Linked DNA regions of Lepisosteus oculatus. The protein of the gene in region 1 purifies or fractionates together with the protein of each later gene. This does not show direct contact. Links are inferred from orthologs where the notes say so. Each region holds a gene or a part of one and is shown in the gene's direction. Other genes may lie near its edges.

What was found.
Region 2: the proteins of zinc finger protein 395 (region 1) and F-box and WD repeat domain-containing 11-B purify together in Homo sapiens (affinity purification with mass spectrometry; 5 studies listed by BioGRID and IntAct, with this or other methods). This does not show direct contact. The link is inferred for Lepisosteus oculatus from reciprocal best matches to the Homo sapiens genes ZNF395 and FBXW11.

The regions. Positions count from the first base shown.
Region 1 is NC_090697.1:60,065,179-60,076,017, forward strand, and holds the start of zinc finger protein 395, read left to right. Parts: upstream 1-6,149; 5' UTR 6,150-6,379; intron 6,380-9,798; 5' UTR 9,799-9,836; coding exon 9,837-10,088; intron 10,089-10,839.
Region 2 is NC_090706.1:29,880,338-29,891,079, reverse strand, and holds the start of F-box and WD repeat domain-containing 11-B, read left to right. Parts: upstream 1-5,708; 5' UTR 5,709-5,784; coding exon 5,785-5,823; intron 5,824-8,371; coding exon 8,372-8,473; intron 8,474-9,963; coding exon 9,964-10,026; intron 10,027-10,395; coding exon 10,396-10,615; intron 10,616-10,742. Other genes in the region: eukaryotic peptide chain release factor subunit 1, read left to right, coding at 397-461, 1,069-1,216, 1,931-2,013.

The DNA.
Region 1 (10,839 bases):
AATATGACAGTTATGATGTGGATGGCCTCCTTTCCAGACTTAAGCTCCTCTGGACATTTATAGGATGAACTGAGGCAATGTGGGACATCAAGGGCTTGGTGACCAGAGAGACTATATGCTCGTCCAGGCATTAAGAGAGGAATGCTTCCCATAGAATCCCATTGGACAGTCACTCTACAATCTGGTGCAAAGCCTGCATCACAGATGTGCAGCTCGTATTGCTTCTGACAGTAGCCACACATGCTACCAGTTGGTGACTTTTACTATAAACCCCTTGTAGATGACAAATGTTAATTAGTATAGTTAATTTGCCTGTGCTATGTGATGTTTGATCAAATATTATTCCACCTGCTACAAAACAAAAAATGGTAATTGCTATGTGAATTTGTTGTAGATTTAAATTAGTATATAGTTTATTTGACAATAGCACAGAACGTATATTTATGGTAATTTGTGTTTTATGCATCATCAACACACACCTGTGTATGTTTTATTATATTGTAACGCATACGGCCTCCACTGCTTGTGAGAGCTGGCTTACCAGAGCGGTGACGTCACCGCCCTTCCCTGTGAATAGCAGGGACTGCAGTCGCTGGGCTGATGGAAGATTTCCCTTTGGCTCAAGAGGCTGGGTCCCTGTTGAGTGATGCTGGAGGCCCAGGTTTGAGTCCCCGACGGTGGGGGGCTGACCTGATGCGGCAGCGGTGTGGGCACCCATGTGAACCCTGTAGAGTTACATTGGTGTCAGAAGTGAGGTGGGATAGCCCTTCGCCGAGGATGGCGAGTTAAGCGGGGGAGAGTGTAACGCATACGGCCTCCATTGCTTGTGAGAGCTAGCTTACCAGAGTGGTGACTTCACCGCCCTTCCCTGTGAATAGCAGGGACCGCAGCCGCTGGGCTGACGGGAGATTTCCATTTGGCTCAAGAGGCTGGGTTCCTGTTGAGTGACGCCGGAGGCCTGGGTTCGGGTCCCCGATGGTGGGGGGCTGACTTGAGGCGGCGAGGGTGCCCACATGAACCCCGTAGCATTAAAATATTATTTTCTTCAGGACCCTAGAATTTCAAGTATGTGACAAAGGTTATAAATAAAGAGACCATTTGGCCTGTCTTACCTATTGTATCTGGTTGCTAGCAGCTTTGTGTCCAAAGAATCTCCTCCGGCTATTTCTTAATGGATACCAGAGAAACTACTTTAAAGAGCATGATAAGACAATTTATTCCAAACTTCCACTATCCTTTATATAAAAAGGTGCTTGGAAACTTGAAAATGCCAGAACCTTAACTTACATCTTTATCTCTCTAGAAACGTCTCTCTAGAAACGTTTCTCTCCTAAACAATTTCCTCAGGACATTTAAAACATAGGAATAACACAAACAGAATCGCTTTTAGAAACATAGAACATGCTCTTAATGTACTTAGTGGCTCCTTTTCTAAGTCAATGCAAATCCACAATTCACATCATGCCACTGTCAGACTTTGTCTGGTGGCCATGCTCACGACATGGCTTGCACTTTAAAACAGAGTGAAAAAGTTGAGTTCAACAAGATTCTGGCTCAGTTTTGATTACCATGTGTGTGCCACTGTGAAAAAAAAAAGTTTTGAAGATCCCTATGGTCATCCTAGCTCAGCAAAACATTATTTAATTACTGTAAGTTATTGTAGTCCTGCTGTTATATAAGACGACAGTCATCATGTTTTAAAAATTGCACCAGAAACAAAGACTGCTGTTTTTCAAAGAATAATACTAGATTGGCTCTAAATCAAATTGTTTAATTGTCTACATTTCCATTGCGTTTTATGGGAATACAAACACTTAAGTGTTCTAAATATAAGGTCAAGGTTTTTAAACGACTCTAAACAACTTAAAAATATCAGTTACGGACTCTGTACATTTCTGGTTTATTCAGAACTATGATGGTATTGTAGGATTAGCTAAATGGATTTTCTCATTAGTGAAATAGACAGGCAAGCTTTCCAATGGTGGAAAATGTAGTGAATAGCCCCTGATATGAATTTGCATATTTTAAAAAGAATCCATTTAATCCTGAAATTGGAGCTCTGGAAAACTGCCCCTACTGTGAAAAATAATTAATTCTATAGGGAAAGGTGCTTATTTGCTGCATCAAATGATGAAGCTAGATGTCTCTGTACATCATGAAATCTAAATGTGCAGCTCTTGAGGTATGCACAGTATAGTTCACACAAAGCCTTGAATTATTCCGTAATTTCATCATGTTACATATGGTTTCCAGTATATGACTATGGAGAACCCATGACGGTTATTGAATTGTGAAAGAAAAGTCCCTTGGGCTAAAATTATTATACTCTGGAAGTAAGGTGCTAGCTGCCGAAATTAACACACAGGACATGTTCTGAGTCACAGTTGGTAGCAATGTAAGGTTTCACTGAGATGTAAAAATGTAATTGGGAGGTGTTGGCACTAACGTGTGAAAGCAGGAAAAGGACTTCAGCTTTGCATTATTATATGTACAGTATACAAAAATGCAAAGCTGCAAAGTATAATTGTGAAGATGAAGCTTCCCTTAACTGATTATAAAGACAAATTAGTCTTTCTGTAGAAAAGATTAAGTTTAAAGTTATCCTATCCTGGAAACTTGAATAATTATGTTAAAGACATCAGGCCTGGTTTCCATGTAAATGAAAAAATGTTGTTAAAAAGTATCCATATATGTGTAAATAAATATACTTAATGTAATATATCCTACTTTACTGTGTATGTACGGATTTAAATTCTAGCAAGTATATTGTCATTAAAAGCACATTTAACCATTCTACAATAATAATTACTTTAAATAATCAATTTAGGACAGTTATGACTTATAGCTTTATTCGTAAGTATTTGTCTTGCATTGTTTAATTTAATATTTATTTGGTTATATAAATATTTGTCTGTAAAAGTGTGCATTTTTCAGCATTAATAGAGAAAATCTAAATAAGCAGCTAGTAGCAGTTAACAAGCCACAGCCTGCCCACAATTAAGAAGTCAGTTTACTCAGCATAAACTAGACTGAAGGTGTATATGGGCATGTTACAGTAAGTATCTGTCAGAAGCTTCTGAGTGAAAATTTGAATTAATGTAGTTTGAATGAGCTTGTGCTGTAAATGGCTAAAACCTGTTTGTTATGGCCATTTTTCATATATACTGCTTTTCGTGCACTGTTTTGTGGACACGACTTTACTTCTTTCTGCAATAAATTTGTTTTCCACAAAACCCCTCTCCTTCTTGTCCATCCAACAACAATAATATTAATGTTTTAATACTGTTTGCAGCTCTTATTCTTCTCAATGTCAAAATGTCAATGAATATTTGCTATTTAAAACATGACCAAGATCATGTTGAGAGAATTCTAATGTCACGTACAGATAATTTACTTAATAACATTTAATATTGCGTAATATTTCATCACTCAGTAGTGTTTCTGTCTTGCTTGTTTTACTATTTTTAAAATTCAAGGCAACTCTTTATGCTTGAATGAAAACTCCTTTAGTGGGATATCTGCCTTTTCTTTCTGTTGCTATTCCACTTATGATTGCTTCATATGAGTTTTTTTTTTGTGCAAAATTCTGTGCTTTCCCATGGTTATTCCTACGCACAGAATCATTAAGGAAAATATTGGTGGTTGGCAGATATTCACTTTTTAACAAAGTGCAAACTCCACTAAGCGTTGTGTGAAAAACTCTTCTATTTTAGATTTTCTTTAAAAATGAACCAAGGATTTATATTCTATTCCTGCTTTCCAACACTTAAATCTATCAACTTCAACAAGAGAAACTGACAACGGAAAGTACAGTCCCTCATTAAAGTGAAATCATGTAGATGACCTTGATATAATTAAGAAAAGAAGGCTAGCATAATTTGGGAGTTGGATCAATGGTTCCACTCTTATACTTGATCAATAATTTTTCACACATCAAAAGCAAAACAGCACCCATCTGTCTTGTGTTTCCTTGTCCTGCCTCCTCCCCCTCCTCAGTTGTACAGCAAAGTTTCACCTCTGGCGAGCCCCTTGTCTTCAAGGCTCAGCCCCCTTTCATCCATACTTTTAATCTTAAAGGCACCTTCCCTGTGGGAGAGAGGGAGAAATGGCTGTTTTCTGGTCTGGTGTCAGACACTGAGCTGACATACAGTCATGGGGACAATTCACAAGGAAACAATCCTGTCCTCAATATCGATCTCATTATGCTGTTTTGTCAAGCTAAAGATCTGTTTTCAAGAATGAAATCCTGTGAGAAGGCAGTACAATCTGGTATGCAGAACAAGTGAAAAGGCTGCCACGAAGAGACATAAAGGTATTTAGTTTCTTCCACAGCTGTCTCAGAACCCAGGAATGGACATTTCACAATGTAGAAGAGGAAACCTTGATGGCTGCCTGCCATCTAACACATACCTAATTCCTCATCCAGCTCAGCTAACCACAATGAATGCAAGATCTCCTGACTGTGGCAAAACATAAGCAGAATTATAAAAGATATTTATTCCACACCTAACTGGGTTAAAGAACTGCATGCATCTTGTTTAGGAAATACCAAAAGCATAACTGCGGCATTTTTTTCACTTGTTGACCATTTTTTTTAAATTAGTAATGGAAGTGATTTTTCAAATCTAATTTTATTTTTGCAGGTAACTGCATATTGGTTATGTTACAGAGCTACCTATGTAACACCCTAGAGTATAAAAGAACCATTACTTAAACCAGGAAGAAGAAAAACTAGTTTTTCAGTTATTGAATGTTCCCACCCCCAAAGTCCGACTGACCTGAAACTCACTGCTGTATTTATAACATAGATGGTCAAATACAGTGCTGAAGGGCTGCACTGGTTTTCTTGTCACTCTTATCTTATTTAAATTATTTGGATAAGAATCTTAATAACGTATTTTCGAGTTCTTAATAAGCTTCATACTGAAATGTACCTATGAAACGTGCAGAGTTCCAGTCTTTGTGAACTAGAATTGTGTGTCCCTACAGAGTGGAATTGTTTTACTAATATTAACACGTTGCATTTATATAGTACTTTTTGGCCCGAAGCACCGCCCACTCCTACACACACGTTTAAGGATCCTTCCAGTTTCCGTTGCGGTTGTGGCTGACATATTTTTGGAACTCATTTTAACTTATTTTAAGCAAACCTCTTGCATTAAATGAATAAAGAAAGCCAGTATGCAGGTCATGACGCGGGTAATTATTTTGATTTCGCCAGCTCAGTGACGTGAGCTACCTTCGTGGCTGTGTTTGTGAGAGACGTGCTGCACGCGTCTCTTCCCCTCTGTCAGAGCACAGTGTGCACAGTGGGCGACCATGTGTTCCAGGGCACGTACGCAGAGGCAATCCGCAACTAGAACAAGCGCAAATCGGCCAGGGAGAGGTCACTGTTAATTGCTTTGCCACGCCTTTGAAGCACAAATAATGCTGTCCTATACGAGCCCATCAACCGGTTTGACCCAGTGCAGTCCTATATGGCGTAGCTAGCAGTCACCATCCAGCCCCTTCGGTACTGTTCGAGCGCTGTGGACCCACTGTGAATGCTGAGCGCAGAATCGTCAATATTACAGAAAATGTTTTGAGCTCTACACATGCTTACACGTTATGAATTTTAAAACGTTAACATATGAAATAGAAATAACATTTGCTGCAAGGAATGATCCTTTTTAAATAACAATGAGCTAACCTGCGCTATTTAAAAATGTGAAAATGCATACAATAGAAACCAAATACTCGCTTTATATCAATAGATTATTTATTTCTTCAGTTGCTTATGAATGATAATTTACATTTCACTTAGCTATCTTCAGTAAGTAAACAACTGGGTGTCTCAAATTATTGCAGATGCGTAACCCGCTTTTTGCTGATCCTTTGTGCTCAAAGCAATAGACCACAGCTCAAGCAAAGTGTTATAAACAACTTGAGATTGTAGGGCGTGTGTCTTGGAAAACACGAGTAGGCCAATGGAGGCTAACATCCCTACCACATGGTTAGCTTGTTTACTACAAGAGCGAAAGAGTCTGGGGAGTAGGGTTTTTATAAAATGCGGCAACTGCATCTAATCTTCGTATTAACTAGAGATAGCTATATAGGTTAGTATAATAAAATATCTAGAAATAATTTGAATCAATGTAAATACAAATACACACAAAATAATACTGCTTTTTATCACAGAGCAGTATAATCAGTTGCGCCTCAAAAACCGCGGACTTTTCAGGTGCTAATCCAATCCATTCTGAAATCCAGTCCATATTTGCCTTTAGAGCGTACAAGAGCCCTTCTGCTGGCTTTGAAAGCATCGACTTTAAGTTGCTGCCGGTCAGAGTCGAGGTTTAACCGAGGGGGTGTGTGCGGTATAAGAGAAGCGTAAGAGAAGGTATGTAAATCTTCATTGAAACTTATTTTGCAATGTAAGTTTTCACTTAAAGTGTTATTTCATGTTTTGATCCCGAGTTTGGATTGCACTAGGTTTATCGAATTTGTGCTGCGTCGATCGCCTTTTTGGTGTTGTTTTGTAGAATTTCCATAAAGGGCTGTTCTTAAAAGAAGAAAATCGAATCTATTTTACTGGAAGTCTCTTTTTAAAAAACATGAAATTCTGTTATAGCCGAATTTTAATTTATATATTACTTTTCACTAATAGTTTTTAATTTTAAGTTTGCAATTCAATGATTATTTTTCAGAGACGGCTATGATTTTATGAAGCAGGTCGATTTGGTTTAGAACGGTTGTGCATCGTTAAAAAAGCTTACAGTAAAAAAAACCCTGTATTGATTTTAAAAAGAAAAAAATCAACAAGCTGTTCCATAAACAGTGGAGCCCCCCCTCCTCTCAACTTGCAAACTTCTGATCCAGTTACGTGGACACTGGGGGAGAAAGTTTTTTTTTAAAAAAAGAAAATAATTAATTTTTGTTAGGATCACCCACTGAGTGTTTTAGCGCTAGAAAAGGGATGGGTTTTGCAATTGCATTGCAATATGTGCGCTTGAGCTTCAGTGCATTCGGCAATAGGACGTGTTCATATTTGGAAGCAGCTTGTGAAAAGATGCCGGGTGCAAAACCATGTTCCCGGCTACGCGGGTGAGGGTCTGTAGGGGGCGTTGAGAAGTGTTTCACAGGTTCTTCGGCTAATAACTATGCAGCCAGCGAAGGCCGTTTGTAATATATTTTTTCTGTTTCTTTAAAGATGAGGCATAAAGTCAAATTAGACGTTTTCCAGCAGTTGTATCTGTCATGGAACTGAAATAAGTATTCGCTCACTGATGCATACCATGAGTGTTTTTTCATGAAGCCCGAAACTGCCATGTGTTATTCTGGGGTGGCTTGGAAATGTTTCGGTATGTAAAAAGACAATATGATAGTTTTGTTTTTATGTAATAGGGATTTTACAAACAGGACCAGTATTACCATTGGTCAGCATGGCATTTTCTAATGATTCAGCACATATGGAGACTTCCACTGTATCCCATCACCAGAGTGTAGTATTCTATGGTTTTACACTCTAATGGAAACTATTAAGAAAGACAACAGTAATTAAGCATGACAAAGTATTTTTTTGATGCATTCCCCAACAAAACTCGGAAACACATTTCAGATTGTTGTATAGCAATTTAATTCATTTGTGGACAGCATGCTTATACTGATTAAATTGGGTCCATGAAATGACAAATGAGCTGTGTTCCCAATTTTATTGCACTATATTTGCCAGGTATGGCGTGGGAATATGGGCTTGATTGAGCTGAGACCTGTTTTCATTACTTTCATTGAACATTTTAAGTTGGTCTCAGTGGTTGGACTTTCCAGCACTCGGTTGCAGTAGATTAGAATGCGTAACAAACCGTTATTATAACAGACCATGAGAGACGTGCCATGTGGTCACACTTTGCTTCATGCAAAGTTAGAATTTACGTAACCAGAGACCTTCTGTTGCAATTAATCCAGCATCATGACTTTGAGTCATACTGACGTAAAGAAGGAAAAAGAAAACAAAGCCAAATATGACTTAGTCTTAGTTAAATGAGTGCTTTTTGCTTTTTTTGATCCCAAAGAATTGAGAATATCATGGGTTCGAATTCCAAAAATCAGGTATCGCTTTCCACAACTGACCATATAGTTTTAAACTAGCTAAAAGGGGGAATTGAAATATACTAACGATGATACTTTACATTTGTAACTTAGTACTTCATAGTGATAGATACCAGTGAAACAGCATCATGAAATGTCTCCTAAGGGGAGCGATTACTTGATTTACTCTTGTTGGCACATGTTGGGGGTGTATAGTCTTTAGTGTTCTTTAAAGCTTTCTCTCATCTAACCCTTGGCAAATCTTTTTACTGTATTTCCCGATTAGCTGCCAAGTTGTGTGCACATCCCTTCGTAACTTAGTCATCTTGTCTTTTGTTAATACATTTATCATTTTTTTAATTAACTCAGCTAAAGCAACATCAGAATCTTGAAAAACCAGATACACTGTTCCATCTTGACCTGCACAGCTAAGATAAGACTACATACTGTATATGTTCAGGCAGATAAAAAATAATAATAATAATAAACTTTATTTTACATAGTGTCTTTGAAGGTGGCTTCTCAAATTGCTTTACAGAATGACAACAACAATAAATAAAAAGAATCCACAAGATAAAACACAATTACAATATACAGAGGAGACTGTTGATGGTGGTACTAAGAAAAGCAGAAGGGTGAGGAATGGAACCAGTTAAGTAAAGGCTCTTCTAAAGAAGAAGGTTCTGAGTCTGGATTTGAAGGAGTTTAGAGAAGGTGACACTCTAATATCTTTGAGCAGAAAGTTCCAGAGCTTGGGGGCATAACAGGACCCATACAATGTTCACGGGCTTGAGGGACAGTTAGGAGACCAGAATTAGAAGAGTGAAGGTTGCAAGGTGGGGAGTAGGGCAGTAATAGTTCAGACAGGTACTGAGGTGCCAAGCCATGCAGAGCCTTATAGGTGAGCATGAGGATTTTAAAGTCCACATGGAATTTGACAGGAAGCCAGTGCAAAGACTCCAGGATAGGAGTAATGTGATCACTTGCACTAGACCTGGTCAGGATTCTGGCTGCTGAATTTTGGACATACTGCAGTTTGTTCAAAGTAGATTTAGATACCCGAGTGAGTAGAGCATTACAGTAGTCAATTTGAGAGAACAAAAATGTGTTGATCAGGTTTTTGGCTGCAGTTAGTGATAGCATAGGGCATGGTCTAGCGGTATTTCTGAGGTGAAAGAAAGATTTTCATCTCAGAAAAACCTCAGAACCTCACAAAAAGTAATGCGAAAAGTTCAGTGGTACAAATTTAAAAGGAGTCTGGATAAAAAGAAAACTTTCCCAACTCTTGGTCTCCAGTAAGAATCTGATATTTGATGGCGGCTGTTAGTTATTCAGATGCTTCTTGCTTCTACTGTACAGAAAACCTGCCATTTGCAATTTGATGTTCTTGAGTGGTTTGAACATTCACTTTAGTTCTGGATCCAACTAAGCTTTCCATTTCTTATTTTATTTCTTTGAAATTAAAAATTAACACTTATCCCTTAAGGTTTCCTAGGATGGACATGATGTTGCTTCAATCACGTGCATGCTTTAAAATATCAGATGTGCAGTATCTTGAAAAGAATCTAAATTCTAAATTATATCGAAATGAGCAGGTAATAAAAATAAAAGGACTTGAGTCTTCAAGCAGAAAGGTGAAAAAGGCACAAGTGCACATGAACTTGTTAAATTAAAGTTTGAATCCCAAAAGTTAAATCAAATGTTTGTGTGTTGTCATCTTTCTCCTGGTAGGAGCTGACAGTAGGTTATACCTTTGCTGTGGTTCGTCAATGGCGACGGTTGTGCCCAAACGCTTGGGGAAACGCTCTTTGCTGGGGACCTTGGTGTGCGCCCCATGTCCCTCTGGAGATGGCCTGCTTGTCCCAGGGCAGATTGAAGCTGTGCATTCGGAGCCTGGCGGAGCAGTGAGGTCATGCACTGTAGCCCTGGAAGATGGGCAGCTGCAGGAATACTCTCAAGATAGCATCGTGGGGCCTGGTTTCCAAAGCCTCAGTCGCTTCAAGCTGTACCCAGGACAGAAGGTAAAGGCCGGGGTTCTTCAGAGGTAGTTTAAGGGAATCCAAATCACAGCAGATTACTTTCAACAGCTGCTTATCCAATTCAGGGTCATGGTGCCCTGGAGCCTATACCTGGAAGGACAAGACAGGATACACCCTGGAAGGGACACCAGTCCATTGCAGGCCATACGCTGACACAGACACAAATTCACACATTCACTCCAGGACGAGTTTTCCCAGAAGCCAACTAACATACCAGTATGTCTTTGTACTCTGGGGAGAAACTGGAGCACCTGAAAGAAACCCACACGAATGCGAGGAGAACCTACAGATAGACGCTAATAATTGAATCCAGGGCTTCAGTACTGCAAGGCAGCAATGCTAACCACTGCCTCACCAAGCTTCCCTTCAATGAAAGTATCAAATTCAAAGGGTTTTATTGACATGATCGACGATTTACATTGTTGACAAAGCAGATACAATTAACACAATATTCACAGTAAAACATATTATTAAGCATTTTTCATACATATATAATTGGATCTATTGTGAGACAGGTTTACTGTCTGTTCCTCAGAGTGTGACAGGAGATCACATACTGGGCTTCCAGCTCGACTGAGTTTCCATTCCATCCTCCCAGTTATAAGGGAAGCTATTTTCATTCTGGCATTTGTGGAGATTCTGTTTTTTTTTTATTTAAGGGAGGAATGTTATAGTAATTCCAGAGTATTTCTTGTCAGTGCGTTTTGTTTCTTCTTTCTGACTGGTTCTCTGG
Region 2 (10,742 bases), on another chromosome or scaffold:
CCACCATCCTGGTCTCTCGCACGCTCGCATCCACGCACCCGCAATGTCACCACCATCCTGGTCTCTCGCACGCTCGCATCCAAGCACCGTCACCGTCACCACCATCCTGGTCTCTCGCACGCTCGCATCCACGCACCGTCACCGTCACCACCATCCTGGTCTCTCACACACTCGCATCCACGCACCGTCACCACCATCCTGGTCTCTCACACTATCACCCCAGGGTATTAGACATACACAACCCCCACCTGCACTGTCACTGCAAGCCAACACACACATGCACACTAGCATTGTCAGAACCATCATGATGTCACATGCTGTGTGGCTGCAGGCTCTTCTACACTGGAGTGTGTCTTGGTGTGTCTCCCTGTTGTCTGACACTCGTTTGTCTTGCAGAAGAGAAGATTTTGTACCTTACGCCAGAGCAGGAGAAGGACAAGTCCCACTTCACAGACAAAGAGGTGAGGAGAGTCTGTTCTCACTCCAGCCTGTATTGGCACGACCAGCAATAATTAGAAAAGCATTTGCAGCCACGCTGAACAATAAAATACTGATATCTTCTGTTTTCGGCATGACTAGGTTGTGAAGTTCTTGCCAAAGCAGGTTTTAAGAACGTCAGAAAGGTTACAAACAGGAGGGGACCATTAAGCCTGTCTGGCCTGTGTCATTACTGGCTGATTGATCAAAGATCATCCAGCTGTTGAAGCCAGGGTATCGGCTTCAACTACGTGGTTGGGCAGCTTGTTCCACACACCCACCACCCTTTGTGTAAAGAAGTGCCTCCTGTGCTGACTGGAGGATGTCATCCGGATTTTTCTTGAAAGAGAGCAAAATATCCGTTTCATCAGAATGGCTGTGCGGCTTGTTCTACCCTCCCACTACTCTCAGTGTAAAGACGTTTCTCCTGGGCTCCATTTTAAATGCTCTTCCCTGTAGTTTAGTCTTCTGGTTCAGTCGTCACCAGTGACCCTGAAGAAGTCCTCTGGATTGTCCAGTGGGAGAGCAGTGCTGTTGGGGCTGTAGGTGTTGTGAGTGATCGTGTTCCCCCTCTCTCTCTCTCTCCGTCAGACGGGGCAGGAGCACGAGCTGATCGAGAGCATGCCCCTGCTGGAGTGGTTCGCCAACAACTACAAGAAGTTCGGCGCCACGCTGGAGATTGTCACGGACAAGTCGCAGGAGGGCTCGCAGTTCGTCAAGGGGTTCGGCGGCATTGGGGGTGAGTGAGTGGTGGGGTCTGTAAGGGGTTCGAACCCCTTTTCTCCTGCGCCCTCTCAAATTCAAGGAACTCGATTGGAACAGCTGATGAATGAGTGTGGTCAGAGGAGTAACAATCAGGAAACATTGGCCGTGTCCTCTTAAGTTCACACCTCTGTGTAGAGCAGGTGTGAATTTAAAGTGTGCGGGTATTCGAGATGCTCGCTTATTAAAAGGGTAGTGGGACACCCTCACATGATATCACACATATGGGGTAATTCCCTTCAGTCTGCTGTGTTGCACTCATTGGGGGCACTCATGAGCACCTTTGTGAAACTCAACTTAAGCTCTGCAGGAACTGGGCGGAAGGAAACAAGGGACACGAGGCTGCAAGTGTGCATATTGGAACTCAGAAATTCAGGATATAAACGTTTGTCATTTATTTTTGTCTAAACCTGGAGTATTTCTCATAGTGCAGAAAGTGTGTCTCTAGACCTGCTGGCAGTGGGAGCACAGCCTGTCCTCTCTGGACAGTCAGGTCTGTCTGTGTCCAGTTTCTAAGACCAGGCTGTGGTCACTGAGCCTGTCCTCTCTGGACAGTCAGGTCTGTCTGTGACCAGTTTCTACGGCCAGGCTGTGGTCACCTGTAACAGTTGTTCCAGTTGTTTCCCAGTGGGTAAGGTAGTGTTGTTTGCCCTGCGGCTGACCCTGATCTCTCTCACCCTCTCTCTCACAGGGATCCTGCGGTACCGAGTGGATTTCCAGGGGATGGAGTACCAGGGTGACGACGACGAATTTTTTGACTTGGATGACTACTAGGTAGTCCAGACTGGGGCGTCAACACCACCTCTCTTCCTCCTTCAGTGAGAGAGGGAGGAATGACCACATACCGAGAGAGGGAGAGGGAGACGGCAGGAGAAATGTCTTCACAACACAGCGCGTGTCTGCGGGGCGCCCCTGCCCTGGCCCAGCGGCCGTGCCGGGGCGAGGGGGGCTCCCCTTGTCTAGACGTTTCTCTTCGCAGTCATAGGAACGTGTCCCGGCCCCTGAGAGATCAGAGCGCTGCCCCCTCATCCCACAGCGCTTCGGACTCACGATTCCCAATCTTATAATTATAGAGAGAACTATTTTTCTTTATTTCTCCCTCTCCCACCCCGCCAGCGAGCTCCCCTCCCTGCCCTCCCCCCATTTTTTTTTTTTTTTACAGGCATCAGCTGCTGTTGTATTTTATGAAGTTCAATTTTTTTTTTACCTTGGGTTCTGTAGAAGAGCGGAAGTGTATTAAATTTGAAACTGCTTAACAACATTTAACCCCTTTATGGTCCAGCTTTCCATTTCATCCTGTTGCTGTTGGCTGTCAGCTGTCCAAGGTGCTCGTGTCCATTAGGAGGGGGGTGGGGGGCCGATGTCCTTCTCCTGTCACACGGGGGGGGTGGGGCTGAGGCTCCTGATGTGTTTTTCTGGGGCTCCTGTAAGCACCACAGTGTCCACCCAGCAGGCCCAGGGGCGCAGCTAGAGCTGCTGATCCCTGCTGGCCATGGGTGTGTCCCCATCGAATTGGGGGTGCTCTCCAGATGTTGAATGATGGAGGGGCGACGTTGTCTGCAGGAATTCCCCGATGGACGATTGGCTACTGATCCTGCTGCCCTTCCTCAGTTGGTGTGTTGAGGTACAGGGACCCTTGGTGATGAATAGGAGACACTTCTCTTCCAGCAAAACTCTTTTCCACCTGCTCTTCACATTGAGAGGAGCAGGTAGGGCTGTAAGCTGGGCTTTCTGGTCTGATGAAAGTGTACTGAGGAGCTGAGGGCTGTACTACAGTTTACTGTGGGTCCTAGCTAAGCTGAGGGCTGTACTACAGTTTACTGTGGGTCCTGGCTAAGCTGAGGGCTGTACTACAGTTTACTGTGGGTCCTGGCTAAGCTGAGGGCTGTACTACAGTTTGCTGAGGGCTGTACTACAGTTTGCTGTGGGTCTAGGCTACACTGAGGGCTGTACTACAATTTTCTGAGGGTCTGGGCTTCACTGGGGACTGAACAAGAGTTTACTGAGGGTCTGGGCTTCACTGGGGACTGAACTACAGTTTACTGTGGGTCTGGGCTACGCTGAGGGTCTGGGCTTCACTGGGGACTGAACAAGAGTTTACTGAGGGTCTGGGCTTCACTGGGGACTGAACTACAGTTTACTGTGGGTCTGGGCTACGCTGAGGGTCTGGGCTTCACTGGGGACTGAACTACAGTTTACTGAGGGTCTGGGCTACACTGAGGGTCTGGGCTTCACTGGGGACTGAACTACAGTTTACTGATGGTCTGGGCTACAGTTTACTGTGGGTCTGGGCTTCACTGGGGACTGAACTATAGTTTACTGTGGGTCTGGGCTACAGTTTACTGTGGGTCTGGGCTTCACTGAGGACTGTACTACAGTTTACTGAGGGTCTGGGCTACACTGAGGGTCTGGGCTTCACTGGGGACTGAACTATAGTTTACTGTGGGTCTGGGCTACAGTTTACTGTGGGTCTGGGCTTCACTGAGGACTGTACTACAGTTTACTGAGGGTCTGGGCTACACTGAGGGTCTGGGCTTCACTGGGGACTGAACTATAGTTTACTGTGGGTCTGGGCTACAGTTTACTGTGGGTCTGGGCTTCACTGAGGACTGTACTACAGTTTACTGAGGGTCTGGGTTACACTGAGGGCTGTACTTTAGTTTACTGTGGGTCTGGGCTAAGCTGAGGACTGTACCACAGTTTACTGAGGGTCTGGGCTACACAAGGAAGGAGGGCGGGTGTGCTGATGTTTGTGACAGATTGTGGAGGCAGACTGTCAGGGGCTGTGCACTGATGGTTACAGCTGTGCTTTTCATTGCTTGATACTCATGGCCGTGGGGATGCCGTCTTTGTGCTGGTACAGGCATGCCCCATCACTCATCACTCATCGCTTCGGAAGAACCACAGATCATGCAGGTGTTAGGACTGGTGTTTGACTGAAGGGTGAACAGTGCTGCAGGTGAAACCTGCCCAAGAATGCTGAATTATTACCTGTTCAAACTGTCAGACTTCATCCAGCATAACCATCCCAATTTGCCTGGAGCTTTGCTGGTCTTTGACTTTTTTGGGGAACAAGCCCAGAGTTTCAGAAACTCTCCACCGGGTCCACATTCATGCTGAATATATTTTGGGCTCCTCCCTCCTCTGTAAAATTGATCTGCTAGACCACAGTCCTTTGAGTAGAAATGGCTACTAGGGGGACAAAAGAAAGGTTTAGGTTTTTGGTGAACTGGGTGCCTAGATGTGTTTTGTCCTGCGCTGTAATGCTGCTGTATGACATGAACTAAAAAGGGTCTTTGCTGTATTCTGATTGAGCTTATTTAGGTTCCTACTTAACTCATTTTCAGCTATGGAAGATCTTGACTGCAGGTGCTGGATTTGATTACAGGTCTACCAAAGCCAACTCTATCCATCCAGTTTCTCACCACTTCCTCCAACGTGGGGTCACAGGGGAACTGGAGCCTATGTTGGCAAGCAGTGGCCCCAGGGTGGGTACACCCTGGCCAGGATGCCAGTGCAGGGCACAGATACACTGACACCAGTGGCAATTTTGCCAGAAGTCAACCTACCAGCATGTCTTACATGGATGGTGGGAGGAACATACAACCTCCACACCGAGCCAGGGCCCCAGCTCTGCGAAGGCAGCAATGCTAACGCCTGCACCACCATGCTGCCCCAAAGCCGAGTCCAAGACCTCTTGCTTAGTTGGAATTTGTGTTTTGCTCATGTTTCATATTCCTCCTTGCTACTCCACCCCCCTTCTCGCTGTGATTCTTTGCTTTTCGTCTCCATGCGGGAAGCATGGCCTGTCCCGGCCGGGACAGTAGGGACTGGGCCCCCAACGCCGTCCGAGAGCAGCAGGGAAGCTCGGTTGTAGAGAGCTGGAGTATCCTGGATCCCTGGGGCTCTGCCAGCAGTGGCAGAAGCTTGTAAGAAGAGTGGCGGAGGGAGGGAGCTGCTTTGTCTGGTGTGACAGCTTCATGATCCTGGAGCCCTGGTGAGGCTAGTCTTGTAGCACACCCTAAATCAGAGAGCCCCCCCCCAACACAGTACCCCAATCCCTCAGGGTTCACAGCACAGTAACCTGGCTGAGGTCACCCCAATCCCTCAGGGTTCACAGTACCCCAGGTGGAGCCTCCACAATCACTTGGGGTTTCCCCCAGCCCCAGTCACGACTTTTTACGCTGTGTAACATCGAATAATGCTACTCTGTCGATGTGTGTGAAAGACATGTCGATTATGAGAAATGTCCAGCTTTCACATCGCCTTGTCTGAACTCAATGGTTGCCACAACTGACTATGGCGGGTCTCGGCTTCACTGGTGCCCAAAGCACAATTGAAAGCCAGCCCAGGATTGGCCACCGCCGCAGAGGGGAACCAAAGAGGGGGGAGGCGAGAGACTTGGGAAGAGGTTTTACCGCCCCGCCCACTCCCCCCCAGCTGCGCAATGACGTTGATGACGTCAGGGCCTCGGGCGGGGGCGGCGTGCGCAGTGACGCAGGGCTGGGTTTCCATTTTCGCAGCGAGTTTCGGGGGAACAACAACATGGAGCCGGACATGGAGGACAAGAGCCTGGAGCTGATGGTGAGTGGGGTCGGGAGAGCGCCGCTCCCCACGGGCGTGGGCATAGCAAGGGGACGGCTCCGGCCCCGGAGGGAAGAAGGATCGCGATCGAGGTAGCGAGGGGGCAGATCGGCCTAGATGGGGGAGAGAGAGGCGGCGGAGGAGGCGGCGATGGTGGTGAGGGAGGGGGGTCAGGCATAGAGGCACAGGGCCCGAGAGGTCGAGATATTCGAAGAGTTTTCACCTCGCTTTTCGGGGTCTGAGCGCGACCAGGGCGAGAGAGAGAGAGAGCAGAGAGTTCGCCTTGTGGGCCGAGCGTCAGGCCCGGGTCTCGACTGCGCCACAGGGGCCTGGGCTCCGGCCCGGGCCAGCTCGGAGAGGGACGGAGCCGGGCTGCGAGTGAAGGCGACCCCGCACAGACGCGGCAGGCCGCTCGCCGGCAGGCGGCCTCCGCACGGCCTCGTCGCGGCTCGCCGGGGGCCCGTCCGTGGCCCCTGCGCGGCCGGGCGTGCGGGGTTGGAGACGGAGACGCGGCCCAGTCGCCGCGTCGCAGGAGGAAGTGTGGGACGCGGAACCGGGTCGCGGAGTTCGGGCCTGTCCGTCTGGCCGGGATCGGCTCTCGCTCCCACAGCCCGAGGTACTCGATCCAGTCGCGGCGACCGGTGGACACTCCTCGGTAGCCGAAGTCGGGTTGTCGCCTGTGGATGTGGTCGAGGGAGCGCTGGTTCGCGTCTTGACTCATTGGTCTGTGACTGGGTCAGGGGCGTTGGTTTGTGTGGCAGTGCGTGTCCGCTTCTGTGTGGGTCTGCTGTCTGTGGGACCTGCCTTGTGTGTGGCTGGGGTGCCTGTCTGTGAATTTGTGGATGGAGGGCGTTAGTGTGATAAGGGACATTTGTGGAAAAATAAAAATATCCAGATACCCTGCTTCTGAACATTACTGTTCTAGTCCAGAGATGAGATGGCTTTCTCTGGCTGTGGATCATTTCCTGTTGTCTAAATGTTTAGTTGTAGTGTCTGTGCCACTATATTTCACAGTCATGGCTGAAGGAGAGTATACAGTATTTTTTATTCTGACCCCCAGCAGTCTGATCCACTCCAGGCTTTACAGTGCTGTCAGTCACACTCCCAGTGCACAGCAGTCTGATCCACTCCAGGCTTTACAGTGCTGTCAGTCACACTCCCAGTGCACAGCAGTCTGATCCACTCCAGGCTTTACAGTGCTGTCAGTCACACTCCCAGTGCACAGCAGCCTGATCCACTCCAGGCTTTACAGTGCTGTCAGTCACACTCCCAGTGCACAGCAGCCTGATCCACTCCCGGCTTTACAGTGCTGTCAGTCACACTCCCAGTGCACAGCAGTCTGATCCACTCCAGGCTTTACAGTGTTGTCAGTGTGACTCCCAGTACACAGCAGTCTGATCCACTCCAGGTTTTACACTACTGACAGTCTCACTACCACTTTGCTGTTATCTCTTTTCTATCCATCCATTCTGATGTTGACTGTTAGGAGGCCTAGATCCAGAATCCAGCTCCCTTTACCAGTCCTAAAATCAACAGCCGGTCCTCTACAAAGCCCTGCCCAAGAAATCTGAAGGAAACCAGTTGAACATTCGGGACACTGTTGGCCAGTACCATACATGATTGTGCTGTTCCCACCATGTAACAGAATGCAGACGACGCTCATATGTGTTTGTTCTACTTTAACCTGGTACCAGCTGGAAGAGGATGGGCTCCTCCTTCCCAGCCTTGGTTCCTCTCAAGGTCTCTTCCTACTCTGAGGGAGTTTTTCCTTGGCACCATCGCCCTGGGCTTGCTCGCTTGGGGTTCAGGCCCGGGAATCTGTAAAGCTGCTTTGTGACAATGACCATTGTAAAAGGCGCTATACAGAAGACATTGAATTGACTGAGTCTGGCGGATCAGACTGCCCTGCACTGCCGGTCTGTTGTCTCGCACACAGGCTGGGCTCAGCCCCTGGCCCCAGCAGGGGCCGGGCGGAGTGTTGCCGTGCTCCTGGGGGCTCCCTCGCTGTGGTCAGCTGTGGCAGGACTTGCCCTGTGCCTGGGGGTCTGTGGCGCTCGTGGGGGCGGGGGGGATCCGAGAGCCGTGTCTGAGCAGCGCCGGGGTGGGCTTGTGCTTCGGAGCAGCTGCGCCTCTGGGCGAGAGCGGGGGGTCCGAGCGGGATTAGGGAGGCGGGGGGCTTGAGAGGGAGACACAGCGGGCACAGAGCCGGCCACTCGCCCCCTTCCTCTGCCACTCTGGAGCACAGCACGTGACTGTAGCCTTTGCTCTCTGGCTTCACCAGCTAATTCGTCCGCTGCTCATTCTAGCAGTGCTCCTGCTCTCCCCCTCTCCTCCTCTCTTCACTTTATCCAGCTCTCTCTCTCTCTCTTTCCACTTCTTCCCCTCTTTGTCGGATTCTCTTCCCTGTCTCGGTGCGCGTGGCGGCGCTTGGCGTGCGTGTGAGGCAGTGCTGTGTGTGGGTCAGTGTGCGTGGGTGAGAGAGAGATTGTGGCTCCTAATGGCTGTTTCTCACTCCCTCCCCTTCTCTCTCTCTCTCTCTCTCTCGCAGTGCTCAGTGCCCCGCTCTCTCTGGTTGAGTTGCTCCTCGGTGGCAGAGAGTTTGTGTGCACTGAGGTGCCTGCGGAGCATGCCCAGTGTCCCGGGTCTCCAGGTGCCCGTCTTACTTCCTCTCGTGGGTGGGGCTGGCAGCCGCTCCTCCCACTGTGGGCGGGGCCTCCGGGCCGCACTGGGCGTGGCCAGGATTGCCTGCCGCGGGGCTCCCGGGCAGACTGTACTGAGGGAAGCCTAGAAGCAAGTTTGGTCAATGCGAGCGCTTCTCGACTGCCTGTGTCAGTGTTGAAAAGGGGATGGAGAATGAAATCTCCAGCCCCTGGCCGGGCAGTTGCACCCTCGGTCCCAGTGCACAGCAGTCTGATCCACTCCGGGGTTCACCAGCTCAAGGGCTTTGATTTAGAAGGGCTGGAGGTCTAAAGCTCACTGCCTTGTTCAGAGTCTGCTTGCACAGATGTGTGGGGATGCAGTAATGGGCATCAGACCTGCCCTCTGCCCCCCTGCCCCCCCCGTGTCTTCAGTATAGTTTTAATTTGGCAGACCTGGCATATCCTGGTGGGGCGTCCCGTTTCCCCCCTCAATTGGTCGATTGAGGACTGTCGTACCCAGACCAGACCAGACCAGCAGCTCCCCCGCCCCCCCGTGGGGTAGCAGACGTGGAAGTGAAGCGTCCCGCTTCCTCTCCAGCCCGACAGGAAGAGCCCCGCGGCTGGCCGACACCAGGGGGCGCCGTGGTGCGGCAGGAGGCAGGCGGCTGCCTGCCCGGGTGTTCGTGTGCATGTGTGCCTGCTGCCTGGCTCCGTCCGTCTGCCCGTCTGCCTGCGGCTTCTGTCTGTGTGCTGCTCTGTGACCGCTCTCTCCCTTCCACCCCCCCACCCCCCTTCACCCAACACCCACCCACCCAGACACAGGGGGGAATCCTGGGAAACTCACGGGGAGCGGCAGGTGGGATCGCGTGCGAGGCTGGAGCTCCCATGAGGCCGTACAGCAGCTCGTGTAGCAGCTCGTCCTCCTGGTCCAGCTAGCGCTGGCGTTGGGTGTCCCGCCAGGCAGGAAGCTCATCCTCTGCCTCTTGTCCTCCCTGTTTCGAGCGTGGCTGTCGACGTCGTTGGCTCGGTGGCGACGTGACCGGGTTTTCCAGGCGTAGCTCACGGAATCGTGAGAGGTCGTGCCCCCCCCCGGGGCGGATCTCCTCTTCACCCGGGGCTGAAGATCCCGGCCGGCCGGAGCTGCGAGCGAGAGAGAGAGGGGGTTGTGCGTCTTGCGCGGTGCGCGGGTGTGTCCGAGGGCGCGTGGGGTCTCGAGCGGTGCGGTACTGGAGGTGACCACCTGGGGGTGCCAGAGGAAAGGTGGGGGATGAGGAAGGGAGCGAGCCATTGGCTCCGCACCTGCAGGCTAGGCCGACGCGACTGTCCGTCACTCTCCAGTCTCTCTCTCTGCCCTGTGTCTGTGCCTGTTGTCTGAGATGTAGAGCCCCCCCCCTTCTCCCTCCCATCCCAACCTCATCCTCCTGCTGCGACAGCGCCTCCCTCTTTCCCAATTCTTCTCCGCTTTGACTCCGTCACCCTGCTTCTCTCTCTTGGGTTTCAGAACACCTCTGTGATGGAGTCTCAGAATGAAGACCTTTCCCCAAAGAAGACGACCGTGTTCAAGGTTTGTGGACGGGCGTCGGACCACACCGGGTGGATGGGCTTCTGGATTGGCTGGGGGTGGGGGGGTTTGACCTGTCGGTCTCACTCCCGGGTTGGGGAGGGTGGGGGGTGCCGGACTGATCAGGGTGGTCTTTCACTTGTGGAGGAGTGTGGGGAGATGGTTCAGAGTTGCCCTCCCTTTGTGGCGGGAGGGGGGACAGATCAGGGTTGCCTTCCCCTTTGTTCTGGGGGGGGGGGGTGGACTGATCGGGGCCGCTCCCCCCTGTGTGGGGTGGCTGGGCCGATCGGGGGGGGCGCCTTCCCCTTGGGTTGAGAGTCAGAGAGTTGAGTCCGTGATGCTTTCTGTCGCTTTCCCTTCCCGCCTCTCTAGATTAGTAACGGGCCAGTGACGGGTTCCAGGAAGCGCCCCTCCGAGGGGAACTATGAGAAGGAGAAGGACGTGTGCATCCAGCTGTTTGACCAGTGGTCCGAGGCCGACCAGGTTGAGTTCGTCGAGCACCTAATCTCCCGCATGTGTCACTACCAGCACGGACACATCAACTCCTACCTCAAGCCCATGTTACAGAGGGACTTCATCACTGCGCTGCCCGGTACGTACCTGTGCTGGTGCCCTCCAACGGCTCGTGACGCGCGGCACCGCTGCTTTCCGAGCGTGATGCACTGAAAAACACCCAAGGGACACGGGAGAGTGAACGGATCAGTTTCTAACAGTTTGTG